Linked DNA regions of Notamacropus eugenii. The protein of the gene in region 2 interacts with the protein of the main gene of each other region in a pairwise test. Links are inferred from orthologs where the notes say so. Each region holds a gene or a part of one and is shown on either strand. Other genes may lie near its edges.

What was found.
Region 1: the proteins of UBQLN4 (region 2) and SPP1 interact in a two-hybrid assay, tested with the Homo sapiens proteins (2 studies listed by BioGRID and IntAct). The link is inferred for Notamacropus eugenii from reciprocal best matches to the Homo sapiens genes UBQLN4 and SPP1.

Annotation. Positions count from the first base shown.
Region 1 is NC_092878.1:141,855,679-141,867,935, forward strand, and holds the start of SPP1 (osteopontin), read right to left. Parts: upstream 5,187-12,257; 5' UTR 5,106-5,186; intron 4,544-5,105; 5' UTR 4,512-4,543; coding exon 4,458-4,511; intron 4,343-4,457; coding exon 4,301-4,342; intron 2,760-4,300; coding exon 2,679-2,759; intron 2,079-2,678; coding exon 2,037-2,078; intron 1,029-2,036; coding exon 771-1,028; intron 1-770. UniProt on the Homo sapiens protein: Major non-collagenous bone protein that binds tightly to hydroxyapatite. Appears to form an integral part of the mineralized matrix. Probably important to cell-matrix interaction.
Region 2 is NC_092873.1:380,135,596-380,147,930, reverse strand, and holds the start of UBQLN4 (ubiquilin-4), read left to right. Parts: upstream 1-6,834; 5' UTR 6,835-6,852; coding exon 6,853-7,026; intron 7,027-8,000; coding exon 8,001-8,152; intron 8,153-11,571; coding exon 11,572-11,825; intron 11,826-12,335. Other genes in the region: RAB25 (ras-related protein Rab-25), read right to left, coding at 793-835; ragulator complex protein LAMTOR2, read right to left, coding at 2,902-2,958, 3,239-3,328, 4,354-4,516, 5,084-5,151. UniProt on the Homo sapiens protein: Regulator of protein degradation that mediates the proteasomal targeting of misfolded, mislocalized or accumulated proteins.

The DNA.
Region 1 (12,257 bases), on a different chromosome or scaffold from region 2:
AGTTCCTTGAAGGCAGGGACTGGCCTGTATTTGTATTCTCAGCTTTTAGCACAGTGCCTGGGCACATAGTAAGTGCATAATAAATGTTTGTTGCCTTGACTTGCGGTCAAGGACTTCACATTTTACCAGAGGAGACAACAGACCCACATAGAAGTTTATACAAAAGAAATAAAAAATTATGTTCAGGGGAGGGATATACTGGCAGTCCTTGGGTATCAGAAAAGCCTCATATAGAAAATGGCACTGAGATTCAAGAGAAACTAGGGATTCCAAGAGACTGTATGAAGGAAATCATACAATGATTCGGGTGAAGGAATTTTGTATGTGAAGGACAGCGATGAAGCCAGTTTGACTTGATTATTTAGTGTGTGAAGAGAATTAATGTAAACCATTTTTAAACTATGGCTAACAACATGGAGGGGGATTAATTTTAGCTAAAATGTGTGTTTGCATAGTTATTCTATTTTTTAGTCTTTTGAGCTAATGCTTTTTTTGTATATGATTGCCATACTCTAGAGACTTTTCTCCCAAGAAAGTCTAGATGGAGTAAGATAATTGATGGAGACCTTGGCACCATTTTGAACCATGATTTTTAAGTGAAAACTGCAGTGTTAGAGAAGGAAAAGTGTAGAAATTTATGTGGATTTTCCAAAAGCACCAAATAAAACATTTTAAATAATAATTTTGTATTGGATATTGCTTTCGTTCATTTATTCCTTAAAAGGGAGGCTTTTTCGTAACCATCTAAAATTTTTGTCAAGAGAATTTACCTGTTCTGATGATCTGTGGAGTGCTCCCAATTTTGACTTCAGTCCGTAAGCCACACTATCTCCTCTGCCACCATCACCTCTTGTTGGTCCATCAGTTACAAAACTTGGTGTTGCTGGGGTATCAGTAGGAAAATCAGTGACCACCTCATCAGATTCATCTGAATCATCAGAATCAATGCTTTGATGTCCTTCATCTCCATCTTCGTTATCATCATCATCAATATCATCTGGGCTTTCATCAGAGTTTCTTGGGAGTGTCTAAAAGTCAAAAGTTTTTTTTTTAATTTAAAGATCTACATAAATGTTAGCTATTGAACTCTACTTGAAAAATTCATAAATTATTTTCTTTATATTTATACATCATAAAATATTCTCTTTCCAAAATGCTTCATATTTTGTAAATAAATTATTTGGTACACTAGTAGTTATTAGTTTGGATAATTGAAATTTGACTGAATGCACGTGTCAATACATTTCCATTTCTAACCATCACCTAAACCAATCAGTTAGTATCCATAAATAAGAAAATATACCGCCAAGCATTTGTGTTGACACTTCTGTTTTCATTCCAATGGCTTATTTAGTTTCCTCTCCAGGAGCTCTCAGTACATCACAATGGTGGTATTAAAAAAGTTAATATATGATTGTGATCAATGACACAATTGTATCATTTGACTCAAACATTGCTTTGACATGCCAGTGGCCCTATGAAGATTGGAGCTATTTCATAAACAATCAGATTGGAAATGAAAATATAAATAGAGTCAAAAATATTAATTTGGTTATTGTTCAAGGGCATTAATTTGTCACTTGATGAGCACGAGGTCATGTGTATTCGTAGACTTCAAACAAAATTTTTAAGCCTGATATTAATGAATCTTTATTTTAGGACTAAATAGATAGGAGATATGTTAATTCCTTAATGATGGGCCTTTTTGGAGTTATGTGATCTGATTTTACTGGTCAAGTTTGAAATGAATTTTTGAATCAAGACTGTCTAAACATTGAGCTTTGATGCTAGACTTTTATGTCAGCTCTGCTATAAATCCCTAATTATTATCTCTTGTAATAATTCAGATCACTCCAATTTATACAGCACTTTAAGGTTTACCAAGTACTTAACAAAGAAGTCTAGGAGGAATTCTCCAGTGGATTATCAGAGGTAGAGTATCTAGATCAGTCTTCCTGCGAGAAAGAAGTTTTATAACATTTTTTACACCCATTGAATTCCCTATGTTGGGAAAAGTTGTGGAGGTGAGAACTAACCTCTTGTAAGTCTTCTGTACTTTCTTCAGAGGACACTGAATTCTAAAAAGGGAAAAGATCAAAATAGGTTGATTATCTCCTTCTGACTGACATTCAAATGAAAATCTTTGTTCATCAACATGAAAATGACCCATCTTACATAACATAACATATGAGGACATCCATATGATTTATCCATATATAATACAGTTTTAAAAACTGCTAAATATTCTGTACCTTATTGCCTTGGAGAGGTGTCTGAGGTATAAATAGAAATCAAACCACTGGTTTCTTATATTCAAACACTTTGCACAGTGGTGCCTTCTGAGTTCATTTTGTAACTGCTCTATCTAAATAGCTGTATCTATACACTCATATGTCTTTATATATACATATTTTATTATTTACATATTTACATGCATGTTTTGTCCTCTGTTAAAAGATAAGTTCAGTGAGGGCAGGGAATATTTTTTGCTTTTTCATTGTATCTCCGAACTTAGTACAGTGTTTGGCACATAGAAAAGACTTAATAAATAACCTGTAGATTGATTAGTGGGGATGATGAGGAGATATGTATTTACATATATAAATGTATATATATATACATACATACAGGAATAAACACTTGAATTATATATTTAATCATACAAAATTTTCAAATACCTGTGTGGCTAATAATGTTTCCTTCTGGGAAGGGTCAGCACTCAGCCATGTGGCCACAAAGTCTGGATGTTTGTTATAAAGCTATAAGAAAAAAAATGCATGTCTATCATTATTAGAAGGGAAACGTATGCCCCTGTAAGTGATGTTGTATGAATTAGGGAGCTTTAGCAACATGAAATACATAAGAATAAAGATATAATTAGCTAAGAATCCTGTTACCTTTGTATCTTTCTTTCAAGAATTTGTTTGTAATTGCTGCTCCTTTGATAAATATTCCAATTCACTGACTCTTCTCTTAAAGTTCAATTAAAGGCAGATATAACCTTAGATAATTGTCTACTTTCCACATTACCATATATGTCAATGAAATTACATTTGCTCTGTGCCCAACATTTATGGAAAATTATGATTATGATAGGAATGGTGGTGGAAATGACAACAGAAGGAAGAACTTTGAGTTTGCTCATTCACATCCTGAATATCATTCTCAGCACTCAGCTACTGGTTACTACTTGGAGTTTGTGTTGCTCTCTGACTTCTCATTCCACTTAAGAGACATTGTTAGGGTACCTCCTTGCCTTATTTTATGTTCTCTGGGCATGGTAATCTTCTCTGACTAGAACAGAGGGGTAATCTTCTCTAAAAATGCCAACTTTCCTATTTCATTATGATAACAAAGCATTTTGCACTCATGAATGAATTAGGAAAAAGCAACATCTCAAAAATCCTGCTGATTCCTTCATTAAGCAACAATCACAATGATCCCAGATAACTCAATTTTAGCCTCTATTCTATCTAGAATTTTACTATGTGTTCTACAGGGTTAGTACCCGGGGGCAATGCCTGTTTTCTGTTGGACACAGTTTTATCTAGGAGACCAGCTGCAATTAAGATGCTATGAAACCAATAGTAGAATGTGTATGATTTCAACCGATGCCTATTTTATTTGGAAAATATGATTTGAAATCATCTGACAATATTCCTCGGACAATGGACTCAGAAGCAAACATCTAAAGAGATACTGCCTATGCATTTGGCCACATAGTCTTATAGACTAATGTCAGAAATGTATTTTAAATTCTACTTTCTCTTAGGGTGATCAAACAATGGATTGAACTCTTATAAAACAATATATTGGCCACAAAAGGGCACACTTAAACAGAAAGGATTCATGAATTATTGTGGTCCAGAGAACTATTTGCTTTTTTAAAAGGCCTAATTTTAACTTCACAAAGGAAAAATCATGCATTCTTAAACAGGTGGTAAACTCCTCAGCTAGGTTTTGAGTATAATATTGTAAGGGACCTTATTCTATACCCAACTGTACACAACAGTGCTGTTGCAGTGCTGGACCCAAAGCAGGCTTTGTAAAAATAAATGCTCATGAATTAATAAACTCAAGTTAATAGGGAAAAGTTCATGTTACCATTTTGTGAGCAGGCATTATTGTAACAGATATTTTGGGCAGTGAATTTTGTAAAAGTAGGCATATGTGTGTGTGTGTGTTAATCCTTTGTTGCCTAAGAAGACCATGCCATCAGAGAAATGATGACATGACTTCCACTTGACTTTGTAGTGAGTGTGAAGTGAAGTTAACAAAAAGATATTTAAAGGAAACTCACCGGCTTTTCTTCTGAGCTACCAGAATTGATCTGCTGCTTCACCTTTGAAACAAGAAAGATGAAAAGAGATTACAGTACAACTTTATTTCTAGCACAGAAAGAATCTATACAATTTATTCAGGTTTAGTAATGTAATTGAATTGTAATATTTACTTACAGGAAATGCAGAGACAATGCCAAGTAAGCAGAAGCAAATCACTGCAGTCCTCATGGTGAATTCTTCCTCAGTGTTTCCAAGGATACCTTGTAATATCAATTTAACCACAGTGATTCCATATTCTAGAGGCTCTTTCCTTTCCATTAACATTTTTAAAAATTTCTCTGTTGAGTTGAAATCTGAAAAGGAGTTCTAAAACCCTGTGCTACTATTTTTTTCCCCATTCCTGACAGTCAAAAGGGAATGTTAAAAACTGAGTCATCCAACATCGAAAAAGCATGAGTACATTTTACAATTCATTAATAGTTCTAATTCTCTATGTTAGACTCATTCTTAGCTGACAACATTAGATAATAACTTAAACTTAACATCAATATGCCAACCATATATGCAGTACATATCTTTCTCCACTTATAAGAGAAACCAACCAAAAAACTGGATGCGTTTTTATCATCTTTTCAGCTTGCATTTTAAAATAACATAACTCAATTTTAAAAAATCCTAGTCAGATTGTTTTAGCCTAGTTTTAAAACATGATGAGCTTTTGTAGGAGAAAAATAACTGAATTTAGAATAGCTTCGTCTAATCACCCAAGTAGAAATTTTAAGAAGTAAAGTGGTAAAACAAACAAATAAAAAATCTAATTACCTGAGGTGGAGTTTGAGCAAGAAGATTGTTCAGGTTCTCTTCAGGATCTGATGCTCCCTCCTCTTCTCTTCAGACTGCTCACTTGTTGTGACCTCCTAGAATTTAAATGCTGTCCCACATCTTCTCAGCCAATCACCAAGGGGTGGAGGAAAATGTCATGAGGTTTGTGCCACTGTCCCGCCCACCTTCTCCCACACTTTCCTTCTGGTTTTGTGGTTTTATAAAGCAAATACAAACTACCCTATAGTTAAAACATTACTTACATACTCTGTTATTTCCTAGCAGTTTCCTCCGAGGGTTTAACACATCATTATATAAGAGACTCAAGGGTAGGTGTACATAAAATAAGCAATACAAAAGCAAAGAAGACTAGTTTCTGGAAATGTTGAGTTTATGACTTAGCTATTGGGACAACATAGTATTTCATGACAATAAGTCGGCAACAAATGACAGATAAGATGAATGTATTTTTGTTTCTTGCAGAGTAAGTGAAAGCTTGAGATCAGAAAGTGGAAAGTGGGTTGATTAGAGTGAGGGGATCTGGTTTTCAGTACTGATTTTTCTACTTACTACCTGAATCACCTCAAACAAGTCTCTCAATCTCATCTGGCCCAAGTGAAAGGAGAGAAGGCACCAAATACTGGTTCTGTCATTTAGTAGCAGCAACAAATCACTAAATTTATCTCAGCCTCAGTTTCCTAATAAAATAGATGGTAATACTATCTATCCATTAGCACATTCCATCTTACACAGCAGAGGTTTTGAACACATGAAGATGTATGGACACAAGCTATCATTATGGACAATGTCTCAGATTAGTGAAATTGGACCGACACACCAAGTGTTCATAACTGTCTCTTCTGTAATTAAGAACCATTCTATACTCTTAAGAGAAGCACTAACATGACAATAAAACATGCATATGTTTTATATACATACATCCACAATGTGTATGTATACATATGCAACACATACACGTATACATGTATAGGTATACACATATGCATTGTGTATGTGTTTGTATTATGTATATGGTATAGTTGTGTATCTGTGTATATATAAACATATGCATATATATATGTATATGCATATGTACAAAATACACTGTGTATATGTATATGTGTGTGCACACATGTATCTATACCTATCTATATATTATATTCTTGAACAACTTTAAGGGAGATAATAGTTTTGTTGCATTATTGAAATAATATGAATTGTCAGGGCTTACTTGGTAATATCAGTGGAGAATCTTACTTCTTGTCATAAAAAATAGAAGCCTACTCTAGATATTGCTAAGATAAAGACTTAAGTTTCTATAAGGTTTTGCTTTGGGGGAAATGGTGATGTTAACTTTTGGCACTGTTCATCTCTAGAATGAGTCCCTACATAAGGTTTGTACATCTTGAATAACAGGAATGTCACATATACAAAAAATGGAAACATTCTGAATCATATTTAGAAATTAAATCCTAGCTATCTTCATGGCTCAAAGGAACCTCTGAGGTACCTAATCCAACCCACCCATGTAACAGATGAGACTGTTAAGACCCAGGGGTGTTAAGGGACTTTCGTAGATCATACACACTGTAAGCTCAAGAGGTAGGATTTGATTCCAAGTTCTCTAACTCCTGAGGAGAAGGGAGGGCAGAAATTAAACATATATAGACCACCTACTAAGTGCTAAGCTCTTTTACAAATATTATTTCATTTGATCTAGTCCTTTGGGTACTACACCTCTTGAGTTCTCATCCAACTTTTCTTGTCCCTCAGCTTTGTGCCCCCCAATTTATATAGATGATAATTTTATTAATTTATGAGCCTTTTAAAAAATTCATGTACCTAAATGCATGTGTGAGAGAAGAGGCTAGAGATGCTGTTTAAATGCAAGGACAGAATTTTTAGAGTTTCATTTCTGGCTACAATATTTCATTGTCATTGGAGGTCACTTAGCTTCAATATCATTTTCTCAGTTGTGAAATGGGGGGATTACAGTACTCATTTACTTCACAGAATTGTTTGAAGGATTGTATGCAAAGTGAGATGTAAGATAAATGGGCCGCTTTATTAGCATTTTCACAAGTCAGTTCCTTTTTGACCTGAAATCATGCCAAGCACTGTTTTAAAATAGCCACAAAAATCCCCAACCCTCTAGATGTTCACACTTTATTCCCAATATTAATGGAAAAACCCACAGTTGTTTTTTGTTTTTTTTTTTTAGAATTAGGAAGAAAATAACATTGGGTGCAATTCCAAATGAGTTAATCTTGTTAGATTTGCTGTCCATGGTGGGTTATATACATATGTGTGTATATGTATATATATACACACACACACACACATACATATATACACACACATATATATACACATATATGTATGTATTTATGTATACATATATATGTTCTAATAATACATACTTTATAAATGCTTGTAAGTTTTCAAGTGTTAAAATAAACTTGTAAAATATTTCTCTTACAACTACTTTTTTAATTATCTGATTTCTTAAAAGTATTACCTACATGGGCCTGATGTTATGAATTCCTTGGAGTACATTTATATATTCTAAAAGGCTTCACCTAGTTACAGAACTCATTGCAATTTACTCTTTACCCTCTCCTATAATTTAATATAAAATTGTAATAAGAATAAATTTCTGCAACTTTTCCTAGACTGAACCATGTAACCCCACTTATGAGTTTCTTGGGCATATCTATAAAGTTCCACAAGATGGCAGTATTTCGAAAAATGATCTTTGAAGCAAATAGCAGTGATTTGTTTCTACTGAGTTTCTTGTTGGAAGGGGTACACATTCATATGTTAAAAGACAAGACCAAAATTAGTTAGTGTATGCCACTTTCCCTTGGTGCTTACAGAAAGAAATTTTCCTCAACAAAAAAGCAGTGGGAAGGAATAAATAGGTCTAGACAAAAGTATTTTTTCTTTTCCATGCAATGCCTTGAGTCTCTGTAAGCTGTCAGGTAGGCCTCGCCATCTTTCTTGCAATTCATCAAAAAATGGTATTGGTTCTGAGGTTCTACAGAGTGTAAAACCTTATAAATTTATGGTTAAGGAATTTTGGGGGCTTCTTTGTAGTTGGGAAGGTAGAGAGCATGTTTTTGACACATAGACAAACTGGATATTCCTGTTTATAGCATCAGCAAGTTAAGCATAAGAATAGGGAATGACTTTGTGATTTTAATTGTTTTGCTAGTGAGGAAACATCCTCCACGACTCAGCACTTTCTCTGCAACTTTTGATAAGAGATATAATTACAGCGAGCAGTAAATGGACACTCCCAACAGCCATGGGCTGTCCAATACCCCATATGGATTTCTGATTACTGGAAACATGGTGGTCGCCAGAGCAATAAACAGCAGAAACTCTGCGTAGCATTTGGAACCATGACCCCAGCTGCTAAGTTACTCACTTCTTTCTTCTGTACACCTTTACAGTCTCACTCAAGGAAGATAAGCCATAAAGACAGCGTCAGTTAAACTAAAGAACATCAATGTGTTCGTACCAACAGAACTCTTTGTCCAATAGGAAGGGTGGACATTTTCCTCAAATATTTTCTAGGCAGAAGATGGTAGAATGTATTTTTTAATAGGCAGTAAAACCCAGAACACATCCTTGTTTATACATGCAAGTACACATCTATCTGCATGCATCTTGTACATGTATGTGAAAGATGCAATAGAGTGTAGATGCTAAACAATGGGCAGGATATACTTATGTGTATTAATCAATATATGCATGATGGAAAAGGATATACATATATATACATACATACATATATACATACATACATATATATATATATATATATACAGAAACAAACTATTATAGTTAATCTATCAATAAGCATGCATTGAGTACCAACCATGTGCCAGGCTTCATGCTAAGCACTGGCAATATAGTCACAAAGGTGATAAAGTCTCTGCCCTCAAGAAGTTGATATTCTTCTGAAAGCATATGACATGTTTACAAATGAGTAAACAAATGAATATAGCTCTCTATCATCTATATTTATATCATATCTGTCTGTCTTGTTTTCTACCCACATTGATTGACCAAAGGATACTACATAAAGAATGGAAAGAGCTCTACGTTATAGCAGTTTCTTAGTTTGGGTGTCCAGGAAGTGTTACCAGATACAGATGGTCTGTTTTTTAAGAAATACATTTTTATTTGTATCTTTTTCATTTATATTGACCAAATTTACCCTTTATATCCCTTCTCCTCTGCCCTCCCAGAGAACAACTCATATAACAAAAAATATTTTTTAAAGAAAAAAAAAGGAAGAGGAAAAAAATTCAGCAAAACTGATTGACACATGGAAAAAGTTTTAAAATATATGCAATGTTCCATACTTAAGAGCCTCTCACTTCTGCAAAGGAGTGGAGTAGGGTTATCTTTTCCTATTTCTTCTTGGGAGCCATGCTTGGTTTTTGTTTTTGAAAAATTTGAAATATTCACATTCTTTTTGACAATAATTTTTATTGATGTCTTTTGCTTTTTAAATCACAAAATTTTTCTCAGTTTTTCTTGCTGTTTCCTCCCAGAAACTCATCTCACATAACAAATAATATTTTTAAAGAAAAAAATAGAAAAGATGTAACAGAACAAATTCATGAAACAGATCAGTAAGGTGAAAAAGTCTGAAAATGTATCCTATGCTAATTATATATGTGTGTGTATATATACTTATACATATATGTATACATATACACACATATATGCATGTATATGTGTGTACACATATATATACCTATCTATCTATCTATCTATCTATCTATCTATCTATCTATCTATCTATCTACCTATATATACAGATACAGATACACGGGCATTATATACATACCTCTAGACCTCCCACATCTGCAAACAAGTGAGGTTGAAACGTCTTCCAGTATCTCTTCTTTGGGATCATATTTGTTCCTTGTGTTTTTGAAACATTATCTTTTGATGTTTTTATGTTGGTTCTTTCCATTTACAATGTTGCAATGATTGTGTACAATGTTTCCCTTGGTTTTATTTACTTCACTTTGCAACAGGTTGTGTCTTTCCATGTGTCTTGAGTGCTACTATAAATATTTTGTCATACGTGGGGATTTTCTTCTTGTCAATGACCTTCTTGGTAGATAAGAACAATACATACATCTTGAGGTTAAAGAGTATGGATAGTCACTTTATTTGTATAAATTGAAATTTCCTTCCAAAATGGTTATACAACGTCACAGCTCCACCGACAATGTATAAGCCTGTCTTTCCAAAACCCCTCAAATATTGACTTATTCCTATCTTTTTCCCCCCATTTTCTGGGTGTGAGGTAAAACTTTAGGATTGTTTTATTTTTCATTTCTATTATTTATTATTATTATTCTTGATTGTAGAGTATGGACTAAATTGTTGGTATAAGTTTGATTTCTGTCAGATCGTTTTCTGGTTTTCCTTTCTGACTTTTTTTTTTTAACAAGATAGAGAATTTTTTCCAAGTAATTTTTTTAATTTATTGAAAATTAAGTTATTGTTTTTATTTGTTTCTGATTTTCCCTTAACTAGTCTGTTCTGTAGATCTGCTCTGCTCTCCTTTAACCATCACCAAATAGTTTTGATGATTGTTAGTTTATACTATAGTTAAAGTCTGGAAGTACTATTCACCTGTCATTACTACTTTTTTAAATTATTTCTCTTAATATTCTAAATCTTTTGTATCTCTAAATGAATTTTGTCATTATTTTATAGTTTTGTAAGGTATCCTTTTGATAGTTTGATCGGTACAGTATTAGTACTGTAGCACCATTATTTTTGTTATATTGGCTTGGCCCAGCTATGAGCACTGAATATTCTTCTAGTTATTTTAATTAATCTTTGATCATTTAAGAAACACTTTAAAATTGGATAATAGATTAATGTTTTATACACTTATTTTGTGCATTTAGTAGTTAATTTGAATGGTATTTCATTTTCTCTTATGGCCTCTTAGATTTTGTTATCATCATATAGAACCATTCATGATTTTCATGGGATTATTTTGGAACTAGAGATCGCTTAGCAATTAATTATCTCAATTACTATCTTTGCTGATTTCCTAGGATTTTAAAAATAAATCACCATGCCATTGACAAATAAGATTAGTGTTATCTCTTCTTTATTTTTTTGCCTTTAATTTTTTCTCTTGTCTTATTGCTATTACTAGCATTTCTAGAACTACATCAAATAACAGTGGGGAGGATGGGTACCCTTGCTTTATTCCTGATTTTATTGGGAAAACTTCTGGACCAAGACATATACTTTTAACCCTCCCCCCCAACACTGTCTCTATAACACCAGCACGAGAAGAGAAAGACCCAGACCTCAGAAATGCTCATTCAACAGTAACATTTCTCCCAGCATCAGTCAGGCTCTCCTAGCTCTCATAACACCATTCTCACCATCTACCATAACATATAGGCTAGTTTGAGCCAAGATATATTAGTCTCCTTCCTACCTTTTAGGTCCTGAAATGATACAAAGGAAATGCTACATTAGTTTCCATCCTATTCTACTTTTCTTTGTAGCAGCTCCTATGTGGTAGTTCTCATGGGAATTTCCTGCATATGGTATCTACGCCTTCTACTACCTCTTAGCCTTGATTCATCCTTCCTTTTGACTATATTAATAATAGTACTTTCTCATTTCCTCCTCCCATTTTCTCACTAGGACTAAAGTCCTCCTCTAATGTTTCATCATGGTCTCTGGGTGACCCTGAGTGCTAGAAAATTTCAGCAGGTCTTACCAGCTGGAAGATTTTGAATATAAACCTTCAGCTAAAGCAATTAGTGAAGATCATTTGCAGGGACTGTGATTTGCATTTATGCAAGGCATGTCCATATTGATGACATGATGGATCCTTTAAGCACATCATTATCATATACAGTATTAGAGTGTGAATTCTTTAGCTCTAAGTATGTACTATTGATGTGAGCCCATCTCCCATTTCACTTGGATGACAAGATTATGTGCTGCAAAGTCTGAAACTGGAGTATGTTATTTAAAAAAAAAATAATGTGATGGAAAGAACCAAGAAACCAAAACTCTCATTTGAACATGAGAAAAAAATTATTTTTAGAATAAAATTTTAAATTCTCAGCCATCATATTTTCCACC
Region 2 (12,335 bases):
AGTCACAAGAGTGATAAGTGAAGAACCCTAGTCCTGTAGCTCTAAACCCATTACACAACACCACTATTGTTGTTCAGTCATTTTTAGTTGTGTCAGACTCTTCATGACCCCATTTAGGGCTTTCTTGGCAAAGATACTGTAGTGGTTTGCCATTACCTTCTCCAGCTCATTTTACAGATGAGGAAACTGAGGCAAATATGGTTAAGTGACTTGTCTAGAGTCACACAGCTAGTAAGTGTCTAGGGCCAGATTTGAAACTCAGATCTTTCTGACTCCAGGCTTGGCACTCTCCATTGCACCACCTAGCTGCCCCCACTATACCATATCACCTTCCAATAAGCCCCCTTCTTTAACAGACAAATTTGACCTCCCTCCAGGGTACTGAATTTCTTCTATTGTCTCTGTTTTAACACAAAATAAGGAGACCCACCCTCTTCTATCCCTTTCTTCCTTTCCTGTTCTCCATGTTCCTTTTCCTTTCTTTCTTTAGGGGAAGGGGAACCTCACTGAGGAAAAGGGTTCTCCCTAAAGTGTAACCCTCTATTACCTAACTACAGACTCTGAGGCAGAAGTGTGTGGCTAGGAGATTTTTTTTTCTGATTATAAATTATTACTAAAACAAATAGACTCAAGAATCCTCTCTGCCTCTTGTCACTGTAAAGCCCTCTGTCATCTGATGGAACGATTAGCTATGGAGAGGCTCTAACAGAAAACAGAAGCAGAGAATGGGGGCCTCTCATCATAGTCCTTTTAGTGTCTAAATCTCAGTTTCCCCCATAGACCCCAACTCACCCTTGAAGACAAAGTTATAATCCTCTTCTGCTCCGTTTCCCATCTTGGTCCCGCATCGAGTGTGTATGAATATGTGCAGTTGTAGTGAGAGGTGTAGATGGAAAATGGGATTAGGGCGTTGGCTCTGTGCCCCTCAACCCTCTGCTCTCTGGAGACCTTAACCTGACTCTCTTCTCATTGGGGATAGTTGGTCTTTGCAGTAGGAAGGAACAAGGGCAGACTCGGTCACTACTGGTGGGCTGGGAAGTCTCAGCTAATTAAAAAGAGGACGGGTCACAAGGAGAGGACGGAAGCAGCAGAGAACAGGAAGAGCCAGGCGGCTGGAGACCTGGGGCCCAAGTGGGTGGAGAGAGTGATGACGTCACGACAGGTTGGACAGGTTGGGTGTCTCTCAGGCCCTGGCCCTGGGTGGGGAGCAGGACAGATTTCTTAGAAGTTGAGGGAGGCAAATGGGACCTAGGAGGCTGAAGGAGGTTCCCCTTCCCCTAAAGAAGGAGAGCAGGGCCAGCTAAGTTAGCATCACTAGGCTTTCCTGGTCTTTGGTTAGGTTAGTTAGTCCCTGATCTTAAGTCTGCAACAACTATGTGGGGAAAACAGAAAGAATCCTGTCCTCAGCTCCCACTCTGCAGAAGTAGCCGGAGCAGGTGAGCTAATGGCACTTCAAGAGCATTCCCAATGCTGTCAGTGTGGACCGGAAACTTATGATCTAGTGACACTTGCTGCTCTGGCAGCGGGAGAAGCAGCAAGTTAGCTAGGTACAGTTGCTATGGTAACAACCCCTCCCAGGGAGCCCAGGGCAGTAGGCTGAGCAGCCTCTTTTTTGGGGGGGTAGTAGATTTTTTTTATAGTTTTTTTTCCCCAGGAAGTGAGGTTGGAATTTAGGAAACTTCGGGAAACTGAGTAATTTACAGCAGAATTGGTGGCATGCGGGCTAGCTGGTTTGGGGCTAGGGTCTCTGGAAGGTTAACTGAGGGCTTTGAGTTAAGGAGCAAGAAACATTGAGAAAAGAGAAGAGCAAGGTAGAGAAAGAGATGGACTAAGTAACGTAGCTAGAAAAGAAACAGGTCCTGTGAGGTATATGTACACACACGTCGTGAGTTAGGGGAGGATTTGGAGCTGGGCAACATAGCCTGAGGTCTCTGATCAACCTCTGGCCTGGAAGTTAGGTGTCCTGGACTCCAGCAGGCTCCCCTTTCTCTGGCCTGGGGCTTCCTTCCCAGCCCCATACTCCTGACAGCACATCTGAAAAGGGCTTACAGATTCCAAGTTAAGATTGTGTATATCTTTGTGTTTGTTGGGGGTGGGAAGGCAGTTAAACCCTTGAAGGAAGCCAAATGTCCCTGGTAGCTCTTACTCATCTTCCAAACTAAGAAATAGACTCAAAATGGATACGCCTGAAGATGGGGGTTGGGGAAAGAAAGTAAAATGGTCACATGACCCTCCTGGAATAGGAGTTGAAGCACTGAGCTCCCCATGTATAAAATGTGACCCTCACTATGTCCCTCCCCACCAAACTCAGGCATCCATCCAGGCTTACTGTAGATTATGGATGATAAGTTGGAAACTGCAGCCAAAACACCATTTGGTTCCTAATGAGAGGAGAAAGAATCTATTAAAAATGCACCCTGAAAGTGATCCCTTATCCATCTCAAAATCTGGCAGTTGGAAGGGCCTTCAGCAGCAATCTTGTCCAGTTCGTACATACAGGAAAGAAATTCTCACCATTAATATACCCCACAAGTGGTCATCTTTTCTCTACTTTATGACCTTGAAGGAGGGGGAGCCCATCCCCTCTCAAGGCAGCCCATTTTACTTTTGGCCTGCTCTAATTGTTTTTCCTGACCTATGCAAGCCTAAATCTGCCTCTGAAACTTTCATTCACTTCCCGATGGGGCCAAAGGGAACAAATCTAATCCTCTAGTACCTCCCCCACTAAACGTGACCATTAAGAAAGAATCTAAGACATAAGACAGGTGTTAAATAGTTTATTCAATGAGATTGGAAAACTTCCCTTCAGACCTCAGGAAAGGTTTACTGGGGACCCTGCCCCCATCAAAAGATGAGCCCTCCACCCTCATCCCCACTCTCAAGTCGATTATCCCCCGATTGCTATGACGCTGCCACTTGAGTGAGGGGATCCTCCAGGTACTGAACCAGGGCCTGGGCCTGTAAGAAGGTTAGTTCAATTTAGCCATGAAAAGAATACCTGATGGAGTCAAGGACTGGGACATCCAGACTCCCAGTTCCACTCCCTCCCTCCCCATCAGCATCAGCTTTTAAACCTCATACACTTTTTCCCAGGAAATAAGACTGAGATGTCTGAGCTCCTCATTTCTACCTATTCTAGAGAAAGCTTGGGAATAGGGAAGAGGACTCCGAACTAGCAAGATGAGGGCATGAAGAACATGAGACATTTTTTAAAAAAGGAGATGGGATAAGGGATCACCTTGGCCTTCAGCATTCCAAAGCCCACAGTCTCTTTGGCGTACATACACAGCAACAGGTTTGCCACCCGAGTGATTGCTACCCGGCCCTCCTGCAGGGGTAGAAAATGTGATATATGACTGCTAATTGGCCCCAGCTGTCCCCACCATTATGGTTCCTAGAATCCATTTTTTGGAATAATGTAATATTTGTGTGATTTTAGGTAAACTCCTTGGCCCCCAATTTTCTTAGGGAGTTGGAATAAAAAACCTCTGAGGAGTCTTCCAGCTCTAAATTTGGGATTCTATGATCTTTTTTAGGCTTACATACTATCATATAGCCTCATGTATTGTTCTCAGTTTAATGTAATTCTCAGAGAAACTATAAGCTGTCAGGGCAAAGACTCAGGCACATGAAATGGTTTCTTTGTATGAGGTAAAAAATTAAAGTACCAGGTTCAGATCCTTGCTTTCAGGTCTACTTGAGACTGTACCCTAAAATTGTTGTTGGGGTCCCACCCCCATGATGCACTTGGGAGTTTCTGTCTCCTCCTCCCTCCAATCATCCAGCATCTGCTCCAAGTCTATCCACTGATTAAAGTAATCAGAGTACAATGGAAACAACACTGAATTTGAAGTCGGAGGACCAAAGATCCAGAAGATTGCAAACTCTTGGAGAATAGGGATTGTTTTGTCCTTGTTACCCCTAGTTCTTAACACAGGGTCTGAGGCTTAGTGATTGTCAAATTGAATTGAATTTCAAAGTGCAAGCTGCCTTGAAGGTCAATGAGTCCAAACTTCCCATTTTACAGATAAGGAAACCGAGGCCCTGAGAGGTTGTGACTTGCCTGAGAATAACAGACATTTAAATAATATAGACAGTACTTAAACCCAGGTTCTCTAAATCTAAATCCAGCACTCATTCCATTATTAACATAGTCTAATCTGCACTTTTGCTATGTTTGTGACCTGGGCATATCACTTAGCTCTCAGTTTTTTCATCCATAAAACAGAAGGGGATTGGATAATAGGCTCTCTGTGTTCCCTTCCAGCCCTAAATCATTGACCCCAAAGAGTCATCCACTAAGGGAATCTAGTTTAAATCCCTCCACTCCAGGAGCTCCACTCCCCTTCATACCATGCAGTCCATAAGGATGAATTTGAGATTGTCTTCGTTAAAGGCTTGGTTCCCATTCCGGTCGTAGGCAGCCCAGATGTTACTGGCGATGGCAGCAGTGACCCTAGCATCGGTGTCCCCATAACCAGAGTAGGCCAGCAGGGAGCCCTCATTATTCAGCAACCTGGGGAGGGGGGATATAGTTAAAATGACTGGCTGGAGTCCTATGAATGTGTTCCGGGGTGAGAAGCCTGAGTTCCCTCTCCTAGATTTCGCTTTCCCCAGGGGTTGGGGCCCCAAGCTAAAAGCTATCAGCCTCCCCCCGCGACACACACACACTTTCTGAAAACCACTGCCCTCTTCTTCCCCCTTCCTTCCCTTCCCCCCTGCCCAAATCTTTCTTCTTCCCTCAGTCCCGCCACCCATTCCTCATCCAGGTTTCATTTCCCTAATAGCTCAAATTCCAGGAAAGCAAAGCTTGTTTCATTTTTGTCCATGAACCCCCCAAACCCCTGCACGGGGGCTGCCATCCAGTAGGGACGCCTTAACAAATGCTGGCTGACGGACCGATGGATTGATTGATAGCGTGCCCCTTTTCCTACACCTCCGTGTTCCTGGGGTCTCTTCCTCCCTTCCTGGGGTATGCAGAGCTCCCACTCCCGGGCCGGACTACAGGCTTGTTCCAATCCCAGCTAGGATGCACTGCATCCTGCCCCTTCTCCCCAGGGCACCCCCTACCCCCAACACTTACAGTGTGCTCTGGACGCCTCCGGTGTTGGCTTGACTTAGCACCTGGGTCAGGGCCTTGGGGCGAAGCATGACGACCGCTCCGAGTCCCCGCAACCCGGTCTACGTCCTGGATCCCTAGGGTCTTCCCCTGGCTCGCACTAGGTCGGACGCTTCCCGTAGCCCCGGCCGGTTCCCCCGGGGCTCACTGGGAATTGTAGTCTCCACCGGTAATGATCATTGCAGGCCTCCGTGGTAGGGCACCCTGGAAATTGTAGTTCTTTCTCAGCCCGAGAGGCATCTTGGGGGCCGTAGTCCAACATGCGAGGAGTAAAGACTCACCGAGGACATTTAAGCCGTCCCGGGAGCCTGGAGTAGTGTGGTCCGCACGTAATGAGTCATTTATTTAATTTTTGTGTGTGTGCGCAAATCTTTGCGCTTTGCAAGGTACTTTCATATAAATCAACAAGCATTTATTAAGCATGTAGCAGGCACTGTGCTAAACCTAAATTGCCCTTAATAATCATGTGGGGTAGGAAGGTTAAGTATTATTAATCTCCATTTTATATAAATGGGGATAAAAAGTCGTGACTTGCCCAAGGTCACACAGCTAGCTCCTACTTGAGCTGTTGTTTCCCTGTCTAGTGCTCTTTTCACTCCAGCATACTACTTTTGTTTTTATTTAAGAGAGGAGGTTAGAAGAAGAGGGAATTTAGCATAAAGCATCAGATGTTAGATTCCAATCAACCAGCAAACATTTATTAAGCTAAAAATACCCAGGTTCAAGTTCTGCCCCTGCCACACAATGACTGGGTAAATCTGAGCAAGTCATTTAACCTCCTTTCTGCAGACAACTAAGGGGATAAATTGCAGAGAAGGTGCTGGCCTGCACTGGTAAAAGGAATGTCCCCACCCAGGAGTTCCCTGCACCAAAGAAATCACAGCCTTATTCCTATCAAGCACAAAATCTTCTAGGTTCTAGTGACTGGGAGACACTTTACACAGGATTACAAAAGATCGAGGCTATTTGATTCTGAAGGGGAAGGAAGACTCCTAACTAGGGGAGGAGAAATGACCCTCAGAGGAAAGCTAAATGTCATCAGAAGGAGAGAAGTTTATAAGGTCAAGAAACAGAAGAGGAGTAGCTGTGGCACTGACCATTTTCTTATTTCTCAGGGCTGAAACCTTTCTTGTGTGTTGTCTCCCCATTAGAACCCGGTCTCCTGTAGATCAGGGACTGTCTTACTTCTCTTCTTCCCCAGGACATAACAGTACGTCAGTCAATAAATATTCAGCACCTACTGGGTGCCAGATACAGGGTTGTGCATAGATTAAATGCTTAATAATTTTTTTCATCCACCCATTTACACAGTAAACATCTGAGGCTGAATTCGAACCCAGGTCTTCTTGATTCCTTTTTGTCCTGTGAGACAAGAGACCTTTCCAATCCAGTGACCATCAGGACCCTTTAAAGTCAATGACCGTCCCGTCCAGTGAACTTTCTCCCTCCTAGACACATTGTCCCCGGTGCTGCCGTGACTCCCCCAGTCCGCTGGGGGCGCTGTAACCGCCGAGAGCTAGAGAAGGAAGAGAAGCGGAGACTCGCGGGGCGGGGCGGGCGCGGCTGCGGCGGCGGCGGAGGCGGCGGCGGCGGCAGGGGGGGGGGAGGGACGGAGGGCGGGCAGGAGAAGGCTGGGGTGGGGGGGGAGGGCTGGGGACGCCGTGGCCGGGCCGGGCCGGGCGGGGAGGAGGAGCCGGGGCCGGGCTGGCGGGCGGGCGGACGGCGGCGGCGGCATGGCGGAGCCGAACGGGGCCGGAGCCGGGGCCGGGGCCGGGACCGGGACCGGGACAGGGGCCGCGTCCGGAACCGGTGCCGAGCCGGGGCCAGGGCCCCCGATCCGGGTCACCGTCAAGACCCCCAAGGACAAGGAGGAGATCGTGATCTGCGATCGCGCCTCGGTGAAGGAGGTATGGACGCCGCTGGCCGTTCGGCGGGCCGCGGAGGCGGGAGGAGCGGCGCGCTGGGGGCCGGGCCGGGCCGGGCGCGGGCGTGCAGGGAGGGACGGAGGGGGCGGGGAGGGACGGCCGGGGGGAGGGGAGAGGAAGGAGGGGGCCTCTGGCACATGGTGGGGAGGGGAGGGAAAGGGGAGGCTCGTCCATCCCTGGAAGCAGACGGGAGGTGGGGGGCGAAGAGAGGTTGCAGGAGTGGGGTCAGGGGGCTGTCTGACCCACGAGGGTCCGGGCAGGCTAGAAAGTGAGGAGGCGGCGTACCCCCAGTCCCAGTCCTGGAGCTCGGAAGGGCCAGAAGCTGGCCCTAAGGGATGAGAGGAGAAAGCCCCCCATGCCCCAAATGCCCCATTCAGGGAAATGCCCTTTTCCTTTAAGACCCTGCTTGCCCCCACAGAGTGCTGGTTGTAGGCTGCCTTGGTCCTGATCCCCTCCTTTACTGCCTTAGCCTAGAATGAGTTTAAAGATAACGGCACCCCCAAGTTTAAAGGTGGAGAGTAAGAGAAAACTGAAGGGGGAGATCCAAGTGAGGAAAGAAAGGTTAGATAGTAGCAAGGAGTTGATTTTTTTTTGGGAGAGGGTGATACTGTGTTATGGACAAAAGAGTCAGAGAAACTGACTTGGTTAGAATTTAAACTCCTCAGTTTACTTTGGATAAGCCGGTCCACCCCCTCAGTTAGCTCATCTCTTGGGGTTGGCCTAAGTGGTCTGTAAGGTCCCTCTCAGCTCCAAATCCTGTGATCAAGGGAGGACTAGAGCCCCTGTGGTCTTCATCTCAGTAGAGTATGCAGCAGGACACAGAGGTGCTAGATTGGAGGAAAGATTTCTGATGACTGGAAATTGGAGCAAGGATTCTGAAGAAGAGTCTGAGCTGTTGGACAGTCTTTCTGTGAGGCAGGCCACACTGACCCTGGACCTTTGACCTGATATCACAGTTCAAAGAGGAGATCTCCCGGAGGTTTAAAGCCCAGCAAGACCAGCTTGTCCTGATCTTCGCTGGCAAGATTCTCAAAGATGGAGACACGTTAAATCAACATGGGATCAAGGATGGGCTCACTGTCCATTTGGTGATCAAGACCCCGCAGAAGTAAGTTTGGGATAACCAATAGGAGCTGCCCTTTGAATGGTCCTTGAAAGGCTACTGCTTTCTTACTCATCCTAACCCAATGGAAATCGTTTAGAGGTCTGAGAAGGAGATGCTATAGTCTTGATTGCGAGTTTGGGCTTTTTAAGTGTATAAAATTTAACTTAACATCCTCCTAGTATAATGTTACTTCCCTAGAAAAAATGGAGGCTAGTGTCTTACCCTTTTAAAAATCCTTGCTGAGAAGTTCAGTCCTTTATTAGTTTTCCATTTTCTTAAAGAAATAATTCTTTTGGAAAAAATTTTATTGATGACTTTTCTTTGAATGCCATGTGACTTTTCAGTCATTCTGTCTTCCTCTATTCTACAAAATAGTACTCTTCTCTTGTAGGAAAGAAAAACTGTAGTAAAGCAAAACAAACCATCATATTGACTGTTTCAGCCAGGTACCTCATTCTGCATTTGTAGTCCTTCATTGTTCTGTCAAGCAGAGGAAAGTGGTTTTGGCCATTTTCAGTTTTCTGACGTTGAGATTGGTCACTGCCTGGATCAAGTAACAATGGCTAGCATTTATACAGCACTTTAAGTTTTATAAGCCATTTTACCTCATTTGATCTTCAGCACTGGGAGTGCTCTTGCCCACTGTAGTCCCTAGCAGCCTAATGTTCTGATGGCTTTCATTGTTTTCCTTTACTTTAGTATGATCTTTCAGTAAATGATCATAATCAATTTCTAGTTCTGCTCATTTTACTCTGCATCAGTTCATTCAAGTCTTTCCAAGTTTCCCTGAACTCTTCTTATTTGTCATTTCTTATGGCACAATAAGATTCCATGGCATTCATGGTACAATTGAAAAGAGCCTTGGGTTTAGAGTCAGAACATTGGCTCAAACCCTGCCCAACACTTGCAACCTCTTTGACCTTGGACAAATCTCTTAACCTCACCAGGCCTTAGTTTCCTTGTCTGTAAAATGAAAGATGGACTCCTAGCTTCTTTATTTCCAGTTTCTTGCTATCTCAGAAAGTATTGTTATAAATATTTTTGTGTATGTGGACCCTTTCCCTTTGTCCTTGACATCCTTAGGATATGTCAATAAATCAGTCGCTAAGTCAATAAACGTTTACTAAGCACCTACTATATGCCTGGCCCTGTGTTAAAAGGGAAAGTCCCTGCCCTCTAGGAGCTTCCAATCTAATGTGGGAAGATTATATACAAAAGGCAGGTAAAGGGGGGAGGGGTAGTACCTGACTTGGGGGCATGGTGGAGAAGTCAGAAAAGTTCCAGAGGAGTGAGATCAGGTGAGAAATGAGATGTTCTGAGCCCAGCTCCCTGCTTAAATAGAGTTTTGAAAGTTCATGGCACCACCTTTCAATCAGAAGGGCAGAGGGTAGTAAAGAAGTGAAGTCCTAGGGCTGAAAAGACCTTTCAGGATGGTGAGATTTTCCCAATAATGAGCTTCTTTGACCCTGGTGGAGAAGTCACAGATGTCCCAGAGTAGTACTCAGGTGCGAAATAAGGAGGCCCAATACTGGTATTACTGGGGGTGAGTGTGTGGGCGTGTAGTTCAGCCCGGTTCCAAATTGTTTTCTAGAACACTTAGATCGGTTCATAGCTCTACCAACAGTATGAATGTGCTCATCTTCCCTCATATCAGCTAACATTTACCCTTTACCATGTAGTCATCTTTACCTGTGTGCTGGGTGTAGGGTAAAACCTGAGTTCTTTTCATTTTCATTTCTCTTATTATTAGTGATTTGAAACATACTTTCATGCGGTTGTCAATAGTTTGCAGTTTTCATTTGAAAACTGCCTGTCCATGGCTTTTAACCATTTTATATATTGAGAAATTTCTCTAATTCTTGTGTGTGTGTCTCTATATGTATATATGTACATGTATAAACATGCACATGTATGTACATATGCACACATATATGTATGTGTATACGCAGGCATATATGTGGATATGTATATATATTCCTATAGTGCACATATATGTATATTATTTCAATACGTATGTACACATACCTTGGGTGGTCAATGCTGTTATCCCCGTTTTATAGATGAAGAAACAGATTGAGAGAGGTTGAATGACTTCCCAAGGCCCCACAGCTGGTAAAAGTCGGAGGCAGGTTCTGAGCCCAGGTCTTTGGCTCCAGGTCCAGGAATCTTATCTTCCCCCTAGCTGACTATATATATGAGTTCTCTCTATCTCTTGGTAGACTTCTCGTTTCTAGTTCTGTGGCCTCTTTTGGCCGTTTTTTGGCTGAGACCCTGAGACTTGAGAGGAATCAGTAGGGTGTTAAAAAGAACATATTTTTTAAAGCTAAATTCTAGCATGGAGAACCACAAGCTGTTGGGAAAGTCAGCATCATCTTCCATAGCAGTCTAGGGACAGTGATCTGAATGGGCAAAGAGCAGCAACCTTTGAGCTGAAAGCTCTGAGTTCCATCATTGTAACTCCTCTTTACTAACTGTGGCTGTGGGCAACGACATCATTGACCTCTCTGAGTTTCATCTGTACAGTGGGAATGCTATATGTACTATTTCCCCCAGGAGGTTGTGAGGGAGGAATGAGAACTCACCATGTAGTGTAGTGGATGGAAAGCTGGCCTGAAGGCCAGGAAGACCTGGGCTCAAGTCTTACCTTAGACATGTATTGACTGTGTGACCCTGGGCAAGTCTCCTCTCACTGCTCTAGGTAGTTCTCTAAGACTCTTAAGTTACAGAGGAGTTGTCAGCTTATATTGGTGGACACTTGCTGGTTGTGTTACCTTGGGTAAGTCACTTAACTTCTCTGTCTGCCTTAGTTCCCTCATCTGTAAAAGGGGGATAGTAAGAGCACCTACCACTCAGGGTTATTGTGAGGATCAAGTGATGTGATATTTGTGAAGCACTTAGCATAATAACCTGCACATAGTAGGTTATATAAATAATTGTTTTCTAACTTGGTAGAGGGAGATTCTTCACCTTGAGAGTATCAGTGAAATCACAGCTCTGTTGCCTTTTCTTAGCCCTACTATGTGCTAAGGACTAGGGACAGAAACACAAAAGCAAGACAGTCTGCCCACAAGGGGCTATGTGATTCTGGTCAAGAAACATTTCTAATGGGGAGGGAGCACCTTTTCCCCTTCATCTTTTTCTGTCTCTCTTCTACCCCCTGGGACTCAGAGTGACTGAGTGATTTGCCTGTGGGCATATAACAGATTGGTAGGGCGCCACTTCTGGTGCCCAGGTCTTCTGAATGCCCAACTAGTCCTCCTAAGTTAGCACTGCTTTGCCATCTGAGCCTCCTTGTAAATTTGGGGTGGAATGGGGGGTGATTTATGATCAAGAGGATCACTTCTAGCTCTTAATAATCTATGCTTCCATAATTCTTTGATTCCTGGGTTCCCAGTTTAGGATTTTCCCTCCTATGTCCTTAGGGCTCAAGATCCTGCCGCTGCTGCCTCCACCGCTACTGCTGCTGCTGCTACCACCGCTGCTACTGCTGCTTCCTCTGCCCCAGATGCTGCTTCTGCTCCAGCCTGCACAACAACTTCACCTGCTGCCCCTGCTCAGCCATCCACGTCAAGCAGCACTGCCCCTGATGCTGCTAGTGGAAACCGGAGGAACAGTGGAGGTGGTCCAACCCCAGGGGCTGGGGATGGGCCTTCTAGTGGGCCTGCATCCATACTCTGTAAGCCACTTGGGGAGAGAGTGCTCATATGCTTGTGTTGCACTTTGGGTCTGGGGATGTAGGGTTAGAAATCCAGAGGCAGAAATGTGTCCCCTTCCCTTAAAGAACTCCCAGTGTAGTTGTGTACTGAGGGAAATGTGATATGCCCTTAGGTTGGGGGCACAAGTTCTATCATGGTTATGAATGCTGGGAAGGTGGGGAAGCGATTTATGGGGTAAGGTTGGGGTCAGTTTGGAAGGCTTCTTAGAAGAGGGAAATGTTAAACATGATTAGAAAGGGAAGACTGGGTGGCAGGGAAGAGGGAGAATGAAATTTAGGTGCTCCAGATGGAGCCAGGCTGAGGGTCCCTAAGAAATCAGTTAGTGAGCATTTCTTAAGTGTTTTCTGTCTGCTAGGCACTGTGTTAAACACTAGGACTATAAGAAAGGCCAAAACAGTCTCTGCCCTGAAGGAGGAACCTGAGATAGACTCAGGATAAAGAGAGAGAGTCCTGGGGGCTGTGGCTGCCAT